3 linked regions of the Cricetulus griseus genome follow. The protein of the gene in region 2 binds, or shares a complex with, the protein of the main gene of each other region. Links are inferred from orthologs where the notes say so. Each region holds a gene or a part of one and is shown on either strand. Other genes may lie near its edges.

Region 1 (4,006 bases), on a different chromosome or scaffold from region 2:
TTGCTACTGCCAGGCTGTTTCCCCCCCTGTCCAGTATCCCAGCCACTGAAACCTTCGTAAGAGTAAATCCACAGGGAGACAGAGCTCCAAGTCTAAGATCCACTTGCCCAAAGAATAGGACTGGGGGCTATTTATAGGGCCAGGAAGCAGGACGGTCCAATGTATAGAGAGCAAGACTGGAAGCAAAGCAATCTGTGGCCTGCATGTGTGCAAACTTTACAACTCTTCTTGGTTAGGAAGTGGGGGTAATAGCTTATCTGAGGAGAATTTTTGCTTCTTCAGGTAAAAAGTCATCCAAATAATATCTATGAAGACTAGGGTGAAAACAGTGGTGTTTTGCAGTAAAGGCCTTCAGGTTTATGAATAATGAATGGCCTAGACAAACATAGTTTTCATGCCCCTCCCCCAAATCAGTGGTTTCAGCATAGCCAAGCTAGCAGGGAACTGATAATACACAGTTATGTAGCCTCCAGAATCAGTGACTTCTAAAGAAAACTAAAAGTAAGTGACTAGGGAGAGCATGGGGGCTCAGCCAGAGCAGGGAATGGTACAAAGGGCTGGTGAGGGTAATGAGGCTAGGCCTCAGTGTTGGCTGGCTGCTGGCAACCAAAGCCTGGCTGTCCTCCATGGTGTCCCTGGGTGGCTGTGTCCTGGGAATGGCTCAGCTCCTGGAGTGCTGCCTAGGCTGCAGAAGATCCCCATTCACTGCTGCAAAGCCCTTCTCAGGGCAAATGCCTAGCAGGTTGTAGTGGATCCAGTAAGGGCTTCGTTGTCTTAAAAGATTTGTCTTGTTATTTATGTGTATGTGTGCATGTACATGTGGGTGCCTGCAGAGGCCCAAAGAGGGAGTTAGATCCCCTGGAGCTGAAGTTGCAGGAGGCTGTGAGCCACGGGACCTCTGCAAGAGTAGTAAGTGCTCCTAACTTCTGAGCCTTCGCTCAAGGCCCAGGCAGGGCTCTATTTTCATGCTTTAGGGTAACATCATGGGCAGGATTTGATTGACAGGCTAATGGTGGACAGGAAGAGGTGAGAAAGGGGGGGGAAGAGAGAGCGAGCTGGGGTAGCCCTGGGGAGTCTGCCGTGGATAGATGGTGGACTTCTGATTGGGAGGTTCTTTCCCACAATCCCCTTCCTTCTTCCCTTGGCAGTGAATCAGTCTGTCTGCTGAGAAGGTGGTGGTGTGGGGGTGAAGGAGGAGGAGAATGAGGGGGCAGGGATGGAAGCAAGGCAGGCAGCCCTGAGGGACTAGACACTCCCTTAGAACAGCTGGATCACTTGTGACTGTGGCTCATTGTGCCTGACGCCACCACAGCGGCAGCACACAAGGGCTGGATGGGAGTCTCTAGCCTGCTGCAGGTGCCGAGGACACTAGCTCCTGAAGACCTGGGCTGCAGGGCCCCTTGCTGCCTTTCATGTCCTCCAGTATGGCCGGTGTGAGTCTGGTTGGCTTTCCTTTTTCTACCCTGGGACTCAGAGGACAGAAAGAGCCCCTTGGAGATTCAGGACTGGGCATGGGGGAGGAAGCATAGACCGTTAGCCCTCCCTGCAAAAATTCCTCAGAGGAGAAAGTCTCCTGAGGGGCTAGGTTCTAGTTTGTAATAAAGCTCCAGGCAGGCCCTTCCCTTCTCTGGGGCTCAGTTTCTTAAGGGCTGAGGGGCACTGGACAGATTCTTCACAGTTCTGGGGTCTGTGGTTTTGTGCCCTGAATGTTAACACAAGCTCAGTGACCCCCACAGGGAAGGGGGGTATCTGTAGCTTCTGACTCACTTTTTCCTCATGCTGCTACAGACTTTGACCTGGGAGTCCCCAGGGAGGGCAGAGGTCAAGAGTGGGAAGCTGTGCTCTAAACTCGGAAAGAAAGGGGGGGGAGGGGAGGGAGGGAGGGAGAGAAAGAGAAAGAAAGAAAGAAAGAAAGAAAGAAAGAAAGGAAGGAAGGAAGGAAGGAGGAAGGAAGGAAGGGAAGAAGGAAGGAAGGGAAGAAGGAAGGAAGGGAGGAAGGAAGGAAGGGAGGAAGGAAAGAAAGCTGACCTTTAAAGACATAAAAAATGAGAGCCTGGCTCCGGATGGTACAGCCTAGACTTGGAAGGGAGATGCCTGCCCCTAATGGGCCTGCAGCAAGTTGCAGGGGCAACTGTCTCAGGTTGGGGTATCACATAGCCAGCTAAGGCTATTATTAAAAATCAAGAAAAGGACTGAGGGTATGGCTTAGGGTTAGGGCAATTGCCTAGAAGACCTGGGTTATACCTCCAGTAAGTTTCTTACAGGGGGATTTGGTGGACCTCAAGATCTACAGAGAATCAGATATTGGGAAGAGTACAGGGGGCATAAGTGCCCCCCACCCCTGTCTACATTCAGCCAACTTGAAGTGTTGCATCTCTCTGTAGAATTTCAGCCTGTAAGCTCATATCCCCTTTTCTGAGCAGTGCTGAGCCTAGGGTCAGCTGTCCATTGGCCACTAAGCTGTGGATCTAGGCCTTAGCTGGCTCCACAAGGCTTACGCACAAGGTCAGCTGCTTCCCAGAATCCCCTAGTTAAGAGATGACTCCAGCAGGGGATGCAACAGAACTTGAGCCAGGCCAGGTGTTCTATGACCAGTCACCACTTTTACCTCCTGAACATGCTTCCTTACTTAGCTCAAGTCATGAGGTCATAGGGCACAAGCCACACCAGGCATTTAATTAGAAAGAATCTGGGGCCTGGCTGTCATCACGGAGCCTCAGTAGGGCCATTCTCATCTACCCACTGTCTTGTGTTAAAGCTGCTGTATCAGACTCTTGAGGCCTGACAGCTGTGGTCCTGGAACCTCCATGTATGGGGTGGTACTGTGTACCAGCATGAGGCTGGCCCTAACCTGTAGGTGCTTGACCAGGGACATGGAGGCCAGAAAGAGGCTGTTCTCCAGAGGTTGTCAGCAAGGTCCTTGCTGTCCTACTGGGGTCCTCATGAATGTCCAATGTTACAGTGCAGGGACTTCACGGCCCACACGGGATATGAGGTACTGCTACAGCGGCTGCTGGATGGCAGGAAGATGTGCAAAGATGTGGAGGAGCTGCTCAGGCAGAGGTAAGCAGGGCTGGGCTTGGGTGGTCAGAGCAGACAGGGAAGGGAGTGGTTACGCCCCCTAGAGCCCAGCTGCTCTCAGTATGGGTCTGCTTTCAAAAGCTAAGAGCTAAAACTCCTCAGATGGTTCAGTGGGTCGATCACTTGCTAAACAAGAATAGGGACATGAGTTCAAATCCCCTTCAAAACAAGAGGGGATGCAGTGACAAGATCCCCAGAGGCCTCCTTGGTATCTCTGCAGGATATAGTATACGAACATATGAAATCTTAAAGGGGGTGGAGAGGGTGGGGAAGTTGTCCTTTGACTTCCACAGGTACGTTGTGGTACCTATACACCTGGACTCACACACACACACACACACACACACACACACACACACACACACACTCATACATTCACACACGAGCCAGAGCTCTCTGTTGTCTCCTGCGGCTCCTGGGCCTGGGCCTCCTCCAAGGGGCATACCATGTAGCAGCCCTTTGGACAGGCCTGTTTTCAACTAACATTTATCCTCAGAAGGAAACAGCTCAACTTTTTCAGTAGCCATTTTGCCAACAAAATATGATGGGAGAATATGGGTCCTGTACATATTTTGGGGCCATAGCCAGCCAATAGTGGTGGAAGGGACACAGTGCTTGCTCTGTCCTTGCAGGGCCCAGGCGGAAGAGAGGTACGGGAAGGAGCTGGTGCAGATTGCGCGCAAGGCTGGTGGCCAGACAGAGATCAAGTAAGAGTGCTGGTGGCTCCCCCTGCTTCTCTGAGGAATCTTCTGGACTTTACTCGGGGCTTGGGGCTTTCTGATTGGGGTAAACTGGACAGCAGCATCTGGACCCCATGTGGTGCCTGTTACCAGGCATCCTGAGGCCATCATCTTGTATGAGTTTGTGCTCTGGGAAGACCAGGGTTCATGGCACCACCAGCCTCACCATCACCAAGTCAGGAGGG
Region 2 (3,963 bases):
GTGAAACTCTTGTTTTTCCACTGGAGGACATGAGTCAGTGAACAGTGAGGTTCCACTTAATCACCACCCCAAAACAAGGTTCTTAAGAATCAGGAGTAAGAAGAACAAGGGAATGATTAATATAAAGCCAGGACAGTGATTTACTCTTGGGTGGGGTGGGGTGGGTGGAGAACCCTGCTGGGAAAGGGAGAGCTAGGGATCTTTTGGAGTTTGATGCTACTGTAGTTCTTCGTCTGAGTGGAGACTGCATTGGCAATGGTTCCTTTATCATTATATTCGCACGTTTTATGTAGTTTTCTAAATATGTATTATAGCTAAAAATTACAAGTAGCTAAAAAAAAACAAGCTGTAAAAAGTTCTTAAGCTGAGAAAAGTATAACCAGATTTATATCATTAAAAAATTACTTGGGCACTAAGCATGGTGGTGCACATCTTTAATCGCTGTGCTTGGACACAAAGGTAGGTGAATCTTTGAGTTTGATGCTAGTTTGGTCTATAGAATGTGTTCCAGGCCAGCTAGGGCTACTTTAGTGAGACCTTATCCAAGAAAATTAGCTGAAGGTGGGACAAGGCTAGAAGCAGAGAACATGGTCAGGAGGTGGCTACCACAATTTGGTGAGAGATTATAATGACCTCTACAAGGGTTAAAATATAGAGATACAGTCTTTTGTTTTGAAAAATACAATAAAAAAATAAGACAGAAGCTAACACTGCCACTCAGATCACTTTTTTCCCCTCTATATCTTCACAAATTGACTCAAGAACAACAGTCAAAATGCAACCACATATCTAAGCAGACATATGGAACTCTACCCTGTGGCAAACCTACTCTGAGGACTTGTGGCAGAAAGAATACATTTTTATGACATCATGACCATATGAAAGTTGAGTTGGCATAATACCTTAGCATCAAAGTTGAGCTGCTTATACACTAGCCTACGGTGATATCTAATCATGATACCCAGTCAGTGAAAACTTCATAGAGTGTTTTCTCATCTAATATCTGGTCCTAGAATGCTAGCTCTGGAAGGCAAAGACATTTTATTCACTACTATATCTTAGGGTGAAAAAACAAAGTTAGTATACAGTAAGTGCTCAATAAATATTAATGAATTATTTCTTTCTTTCTTTTTTTTTCTCAAGATATGGTCCCTCTAAGCTGGATGGGCTAACCTTGAACTCACAGTCCAACTGACCTCAGCCTTAAGTAGCTAGCACTCTAGGCACCTCCATAGTACCTTGTATTTAATTATCATAATTATTTGTGTCTAATCAACACAATAATCCAATGAGAGTAGATAAGACATATATTATATATTATTATCCTCATTTTGTAAGTTAGAAAACAAAGATTTTATTCATTTTTTGCAATTAAAAGTTGAAGGGCTAAGACTCAATATTCTTATAATTCTAAAACACCAACTAGAAGCATTTCAAAGCATAACAGGCTGGAGTGGTGGCACACGCCTTTGATCCCAGAAACCAGGAGGCAGAGGCAGAAGGATCTCTGTGAGTTCAAGGCCAAGTCTGATCCACACAGCAAGTTCCAGGGCAGATAAGCTACACAGTGATACAAACAAAAACCAAGCAAAACAATAAAATCAAAACCATGACATGTCTGTCAGATCCCACACTCTCCAGTGTACCTGACATGGAGCCATATAGCCTGCCCAGCTTTTACTGCATTGACAACTACAGCTCCCCTACAAGGAGACCCATTGTCTTCTGGATAGTCAAGTCCACCTGCTCCCTGGCTACCTTGTTCCTGTGTCCCCTAGTTGTCTCTACTTCCCACTCTACCCAGTCCACTTCTTCTCCAAACAATAGAAGTTAAAGAAACCCAGTTAGGGCAAAAAAAAAAGGAAAATGCTGTTCTAAAAACTTGTCATTAGGCCGAGTGTTGGTGGCGCACGCCTTTAATCCCAGCACTCGGGAGGCAGAGGCAGGTGGATCTCTGTGAGTTCGAGGCCAGCCTGGTCTCCAGAGCAAGTGCCAGGATAGGCTCCAAAGCTACACAGAGAAACCCTGTCTCAAAAAACCAAAAAAAAAAAAAAAAAAAAAAAGAAAGAAAGAAAGAAAGAAAAGAAAAGAAAAGAAAAGAAAAAAGAAAAAAACTTGTCAATAGAAAAGGGAAAATAGAATAAAGTGGCAAATGACAGTTTTGGTGTAATTCAAAAGCCTGTCATCCAAATGATATCCTATAGGGAGTCTAAAAATTCAACACTACACGAGGAGTTCCTCTTAGTCTCTTTCTTTTTGGTATCAATTAAAATGAGTAATTTGAAGCTTAAAACACAACTCAAATGCTTTCTCCAGATGCTCAAAAGGTATTAATATTCATACATCTGTATATACCTTCATAGGACTGATAAACTCAAAAAAACCCACAAACACAACAATAAAACCAGCATACCTGAAAAAAATGCTGAATACACAGATACAACAAAACTCACAGAAGTTATGTTTTTAGGTTGTCTCCCCACGCAACCCCTTGTAGTCCAAGCTCTGATGTTCAATTTGTCCCTACAGCAATTCAGTCTAGGCAGGTTAGACCACAGCAGACCGTTAAACAGTGCATCTAACTCCTCTTTCAAACATCCCAGAACTCACCAGAAATTCATTGGCAAACTCCTCATTATTAATTTTCTTTTTCTGGGCCTCATTCAGTAACCGCTGCAAAATTTCTCTTTGGTCCATGCCGCAGAGCAAAAGTCTGTGAGTGAATTAAGTGAGGGCATGTCAAATGTGTGTCATGGCCAAGACACCACCAAGAAGCCACTGCTGCTGCCTGAGCACAGCACGCTGGAGGCTGTGGTTTACTGACTGCATCACAAGCCCTAGAGGAAATTAGTACGAAACCAACTTCTGTGGTCACACAACAAAGCCATCATCTCCCTCCAGGGCCCTAGCGCCTTCCTTTCTCAACAAAGAAACCTGGCTACAGTTCAAATGTAGCGAACAAGAGGCTAACCAGAACATTAAACTGTGGTCTGCTTAGCTGGGGGACTCTGCCAGCTTTCCACAGTACTCACCTCACCTCTCTTGATGCTTCCCAGACAACAGACAGAAGTACAGCTCTAACATAAGGTGTGTTCAGCCTTTCCACATTCCCCAGGAGAGCAAAGGCCTGGGTGATGAGCACCTGCCGTCCCTCTACAGGGAAGGAGACAGACACTGGAGTTATCTATCTTCTACCTGGACTATTGTCGCCAAAGTCAGAGCAGGCATTTTACTTCAGAACTTGTCAACTGCTTCTGACAGGCAGGCAGTCTCTCTCACGGCTGGGGAAGTACTGGCCCCCCATAGAGGGAAGTGTTGATCTCTGTACCTCTTCAAACCTGCAGTAGCTTTGATCCTTATTTGGGTTCTGAATACAAACATGGAGAGCACTGTTCTATGGAGGAGAAGCACCTGGTAGACAGCACACTATCCTCAGAACGCACTGCTAGTAGACAGTGAAGGAATGAAAACTAAAATTTAATTTGTCGAGTGTAATACAGATTCTAGGTCAGAAAGTCTTGGGAGAAGTGAGTATAGCAGTGCAATCTGGGGTCCTCGCTACTCAGGAGTGTCACCCAACTGGAGGATCACTTGAGTCTGGGAGTTTGAGACACCTGGGCAACAAAATGAGACCTCTCCCTCAAAAACTGAAAGAGAGAGAGAGACACAGAGACAGAGAAAGAGAGAGACAGAGAAGAAAGGAAGAATGAAAGAGAGAGGGAGAGAGAAAGCCTAAAGAAGTGATTCTCATGAAGACATTTTGACATTTTTTGCCCTACAGCCACAGTCTTAGAAAACATCCCATTTCAGGAAGCCATCCCCTACTCATGGCATTTGTGCCTTGATAGGCAGGCTGCTCTAGAGAAAGCTTCCATGCCTCCGTTTGCATAAATTCTCTCTTCAATGGGTACAAATCCACCCAAGATCTAATTCACCCCAAGTGAATATATTATCTTTAAAGGA
Region 3 (4,101 bases), on a different chromosome or scaffold from region 2:
TGGAGAGGGCACGACTTGTCCCTCAGTAAGTAAGTGACTGGCCAGGATTGGCAACTTCAAAGCTCAGTGGGGACAAAGTGGAGGGGCTGGGAGGAGGGAGAGGTGAGGCTGAGGAGAACCCACCTTGGCCATGTACTCTGTGACAATGTAGAGCCCACCCTTCTCCTCCACAATCACACCCAGTAGCTGGACCAGGTTGCTGTGCCGAAGTTGCCTGGACAAGGCGGGACAGAGTAGTCAGCCAGAGTTCAGAGTTCAGTCAGCCAGCCTCCCCCGTTCCACCCAGGCCCCAGGCAACCTGCCCTTATGCTTGTCTCAACTTACGTCATGACAGAGGCTTCAGCCAGGAAGGCCTGGGCAGTGGCATCATTCTTAATGCATTTAACTGCAACTTTGTTGCCCCGATAATCACCCAGCATCACGTCTGGAGGAAGAAGGGAGGGATGCGGTTTCCTGGACACCCGAAGCTTCTCAGACCCTCCCGGGGCTCCCTCAACTTACCTCCAAACTCCCCCTTCCCAATCGTCTGTAGCAGCTTCAGTTCCTTCATGTTCAGGGCCCAGCCACCTGTGGGGTGGGGGCAGAAAAGCAGTGTGTCAGTGAGGTGAACAGAGAGTTGAGGCCGTTTGAGATGGCAGGCACAGGCCAAACTGCTTTAGATGTGGGATGTCTGATGTCTCCAAACCACCAGGGTAGGCCAGTGGAAATGTAGTTAGTGTACTTACTGCGGTAGAATTCATCTTGGGCGGCCACTGTGCCCTCCATGACCTTTGGTTTGATGAGGCGAGTGCAGAGTCCATCGGCATCTGTGGTGTAGTGCTGCAGAGAGAGGGGGAGGGCAGGCCCTCAGAACCAGACCCGCTGGCCCCATTTTTCATAGACTCACGGGCTGCTCAGGTCTGACCACCAGGGGGCAGCAGAGGCCAGTTCACGAAGCCTCCAGCTGCTTTGTGTGAAAGGTTCCTCATTTCAAAAGGGTGGGAATGCCTGTCCATTTCCTGTGTCACCCCACCCACATCAGCTACTGGACTCCCAATTGTCACTACTGCTGTGGGCCTGACCAGCATCTTAAGGTAAACAGCAAAGCCTGGCCTGCTCCCTGCACCAGCCTCCAGCCAGGTGTCCTCGGCCAATGTAAACCAGAGACAGGATGAGAGTGAGCTTGGAGGGAACCTACAGTTTTCTGTTGCCAAGTATGGCCTGGTCAGAGCTGACAGAGCTGGTGTCGGAAGCTGCAAGGACCTGTGGGTGTGCAAAGGCCTGAAGGACCCTGGTGGCCAGGGCACACACACGAGGAGGTTCGAGTGGAAGAGGAATTGAGTTCTGGATCAGATAGCCTCAAAGTCTAGTGGCACCTCCAACGTACAGAGAGAGGAGAGACTTTCACTGATCAGAACTTTGTGTCCTTATCTATAAAACGGGCCCTTGTTGGGGTACTATGGGCCCTGGCACATAGCAGGTGCTCCACTGGGGTGTGCTGTCAACGTGTCCAGGTTACTCTGCCAGGTGACTTGGTGCTGGGTTTGTGTGAAATGTCCTCAGGTGGACTCAGGTGTGTCTGAGTGTGGGCAGAAGGGGGAGCACCCCTACTCACCTCCACCAGCTGCATGAGGTTCTCGAAGTACACCTCCTCATCGATGCTCAACTTGCTCGCATGGTACATGATGCGGTAGTGTTCCACCTTGCCTTCACAGCTCACACACAGTGTGTAGTCCCCAGGGTAGTTGGTGCTTTCCCTCACCAGGAACAGGCCCGTCTCTGGTGGGTAGAGAAGCCGCTCGGCCTGCTCCCGTGTGATTTTGCCATGGAACCAGCTAGGGGGTGGCAAGGCTGGGGGTCACAATGGCACTGACCCCAGTGCCTCCTGCCAGCCCCCCACATGCGCTTTCCCACTGCTTCCAATCAGCCAGGGCACCATCTTCTCCCTGTCCCCTTTTCTTCTGCTGGGTGCCTATTCCCTCTGTTAGGTGCAACCTCTTGTTCCATTCCTACAACGCCTCTTACTCAGGGTTGTTTTCCTCTCTTCTCCCCAAACCAGGAGACTCCAGCCCTCCTCCTGGTACTCACGGCATAAGGCTGAGTTTGGTGCCTGCCTTCACACCCTCACGCTTCTGGACATAGTTGGCTGGGATGATGCCCTCACGGCCCACTTTGTTTTTGGCTTTGTACCAGTTTGGGTCCTGGAGAGAGGGCAACCAGACACACTCTCAGGTCTACCTCCCTCTGCTGGGGAGCCAAACCCAGAGGGAATCCCTGGAGGTGAAAGAATGGGATAGGCATCTAAGGTCCACAGTACCTTAGTGACCGCCACAATGGTGAGCACGTCTCCTTTGCAGAAGGGCAGGTCTTGCTCAGCAGTGCCATGGAAGTTGTACTTGGCAATACATTCTGTACCGGATGGCCAGGCGGCCTACAAGGTAAGGGACAGGTATGGGGGTGCTGCCTGGGGCCCTTCTCTACCCCTCTGCCCGAATGCCCTTGAGACCAAAGCATCTTAGCTGATATCCATGAGTTTGGGGTAAGAGAATGCCCAGTCCCTTCCAGCTCAAATTGCTCTGCAGCCCAGTCTGGGGCCCTGTGCCCAATAGAGCACACTGGAATTACCGTTGCTTCAAAGTCTTGACTAGCATGGAGGGTTGGGAATGGGGAATAGGCTGGTCTAAGCACCCACTCTTTTTCCAGATGTGGGATTGCCTCATCTGTCCCCACCACAACCCCATGGTACCTGTATTGCCGACATCTTCTTAGATCTGGCGTCCCCGTGCTACAGGAAGGCCAATCCGTTACTTGGTACCATTAGAGCTGTGGGAGAGGAGACAAGCTGAGGAAGGCTGAGAAGAGACGACCCCACCCTCTGTGGGTGATCATCAGTTCCTTCAAGGCAGTACAAGCCACAGTGCCAAAGCTTCTGAGAGTTGGTACATGGATCCAGGGCTGCCCCCCCCCCCCAATAGGGTTTCTCTGAATTGTTTTGGAGTCTGTCCTGGAACTTGCTCTGTAGACCAGGATGGCCTCAAACTCACAGAGATCCGCCTGCCCCTGCCTCCCGAGTGCAGTGATTAAAGGCATGCACCACCAACGCCCGGCTCCAGGGCTGTTCTATCTAGCCTTGGGTAGAAGCACACAGACTCAAGAGTCCCAGGGAGGCCTTGAGGATTGTCAGGGAAAGGGAGTCTAGGGAAACTCTGAAACCAGGCAGGTGATGAGTGGTCCAGGAAAGTCACTTGTTAGACAAGGTCACAGGCTTGTCCCAGAGACTGTATAGACAAATATCTGTGCTTATTTCTTGGCACACACCCAAAAGAAAGTAGCCCATGTCCTCCAGGAGAGGGGTAGGTGCTCTCTCATGGTGTGCTCTGTAGTAAATCTCAGACCAAGAGCTAACTGCCCAGGTACTGAAAATGAAGTGGATAAAATAGGGAGAAGTCACAAGATGGAATTCCATACAGCGGTGGCATGGCCCATGTCAGCCACCTATCAGCCTTGGATTCTCACCAAGGAGCTAGGCACAGAGAAGCACAAGCTTTGTGATTCTCTTTGTATCAAGTTTAAAACTGGATCAAACCAATCCAGGCTTGTCAGGATGAATCTCTGCAGAGGAAAGAACTGGACAGGGTGTGAGGGGGCTTCAAGGTGTCAGCTATGGGGGCTGTCTGAGCCCCCTTGCAAGAGAGGGTTTGCTCCAGAGAAACTTGCTGGGTGTAGCCTGAGAGCTGGTGCTCTTCTGGATTTATGTGCACTTTTGTAAATGGAATTCCTCAGAACACTCCCCCAGAGCAGCAAGCATGTCTTCACACACACACACACACACACACACATATATGTCACCAACACATTCAGTCCAAATACAGCCCCAGACCTCAGATAACCTCAGAAGGACTCAGGCAGAGTGGGGCTACTGTTCTCTTTCTGGTGAGGGAACAGCCAATGGCCTTTCTGTGGTCACAGGGCTAGATGACAGATGCACTTGGGATGGGAGAGGTGAGGTCTAGCCATTGCACTTATGGCGGCTATGTACACCACTGCTAGAAGAGGACTTTCAGTGTAGGTGCTGGTACATGTGTGTGCATGTGCATGCATACCTGCACGTACACATATATG

What was found.
Region 1: the proteins of Ptpn22 (region 2) and Pstpip1 are in contact, whole or in part, in a crystal structure (PDB 7AAM), measured with the Homo sapiens proteins. The link is inferred for Cricetulus griseus from reciprocal best matches to the Homo sapiens genes PTPN22 and PSTPIP1. Residues at the interface, in NP_057051.4 of Homo sapiens: Ser793, Lys794, Pro795, Gly797, Pro798, Arg799, Asn800, Pro801, Pro802, Trp805, Asn806; in NP_003969.2 of Homo sapiens: Thr225, Arg228, Asn229, Trp232, Asn236, Ser239, Met240, Cys242, Val243, Asp246.
Region 3: the proteins of Ptpn22 (region 2) and Csk are in contact, whole or in part, in an NMR structure (PDB 1JEG), measured with the Mus musculus proteins. The link is inferred for Cricetulus griseus from reciprocal best matches to the Homo sapiens genes PTPN22 and CSK. Residues at the interface, in NP_033005.1 of Mus musculus: Pro614, Pro615, Leu616, Pro617, Glu618, Arg619, Thr620, Glu622, Ser623, Phe624, Ile625, Val626, Val627; in NP_001291690.1 of Mus musculus: Phe20, Thr23, Gln26, Ala40, Val41, Thr42, Lys43, Asp44, Asn46, Trp47, Ile59, Pro61, Asn63, Tyr64.

What each region holds. Positions count from the first base shown.
Region 1 is NC_048597.1:167,620,741-167,624,746, forward strand, and holds the start of Pstpip1 (proline-serine-threonine phosphatase-interacting protein 1), read left to right. Parts: upstream 1-1,204; 5' UTR 1,205-1,332; coding exon 1,333-1,431; coding exon of another isoform or gene 1,432-1,433; intron 1,434-2,962; coding exon 2,963-3,063; intron 3,064-3,713; coding exon 3,714-3,788; intron 3,789-4,006. UniProt on the Homo sapiens protein: Involved in regulation of the actin cytoskeleton. May regulate WAS actin-bundling activity. Bridges the interaction between ABL1 and PTPN18 leading to ABL1 dephosphorylation.
Region 2 is NW_023276806.1:53,075,468-53,079,430, forward strand, and holds the start of Ptpn22 (tyrosine-protein phosphatase non-receptor type 22), read right to left. Parts: upstream 2,810-3,963; 5' UTR 2,698-2,809; coding exon 2,611-2,697; intron 1-2,610. UniProt on the Homo sapiens protein: Acts as a negative regulator of T-cell receptor (TCR) signaling by direct dephosphorylation of the Src family kinases LCK and FYN, ITAMs of the TCRz/CD3 complex, as well as ZAP70, VAV, VCP and other key signaling molecules.
Region 3 is NC_048597.1:169,257,799-169,261,899, forward strand, and holds the start of Csk (tyrosine-protein kinase CSK), read right to left. Parts: upstream 2,803-4,101; 5' UTR 2,741-2,802; coding exon 2,726-2,740; intron 2,411-2,725; coding exon 2,297-2,410; intron 2,181-2,296; coding exon 2,068-2,180; intron 1,815-2,067; coding exon 1,595-1,814; intron 820-1,594; coding exon 726-819; intron 568-725; coding exon 502-567; intron 425-501; coding exon 325-424; intron 215-324; coding exon 124-214; intron 1-123. UniProt on the Homo sapiens protein: Non-receptor tyrosine-protein kinase that plays an important role in the regulation of cell growth, differentiation, migration and immune response.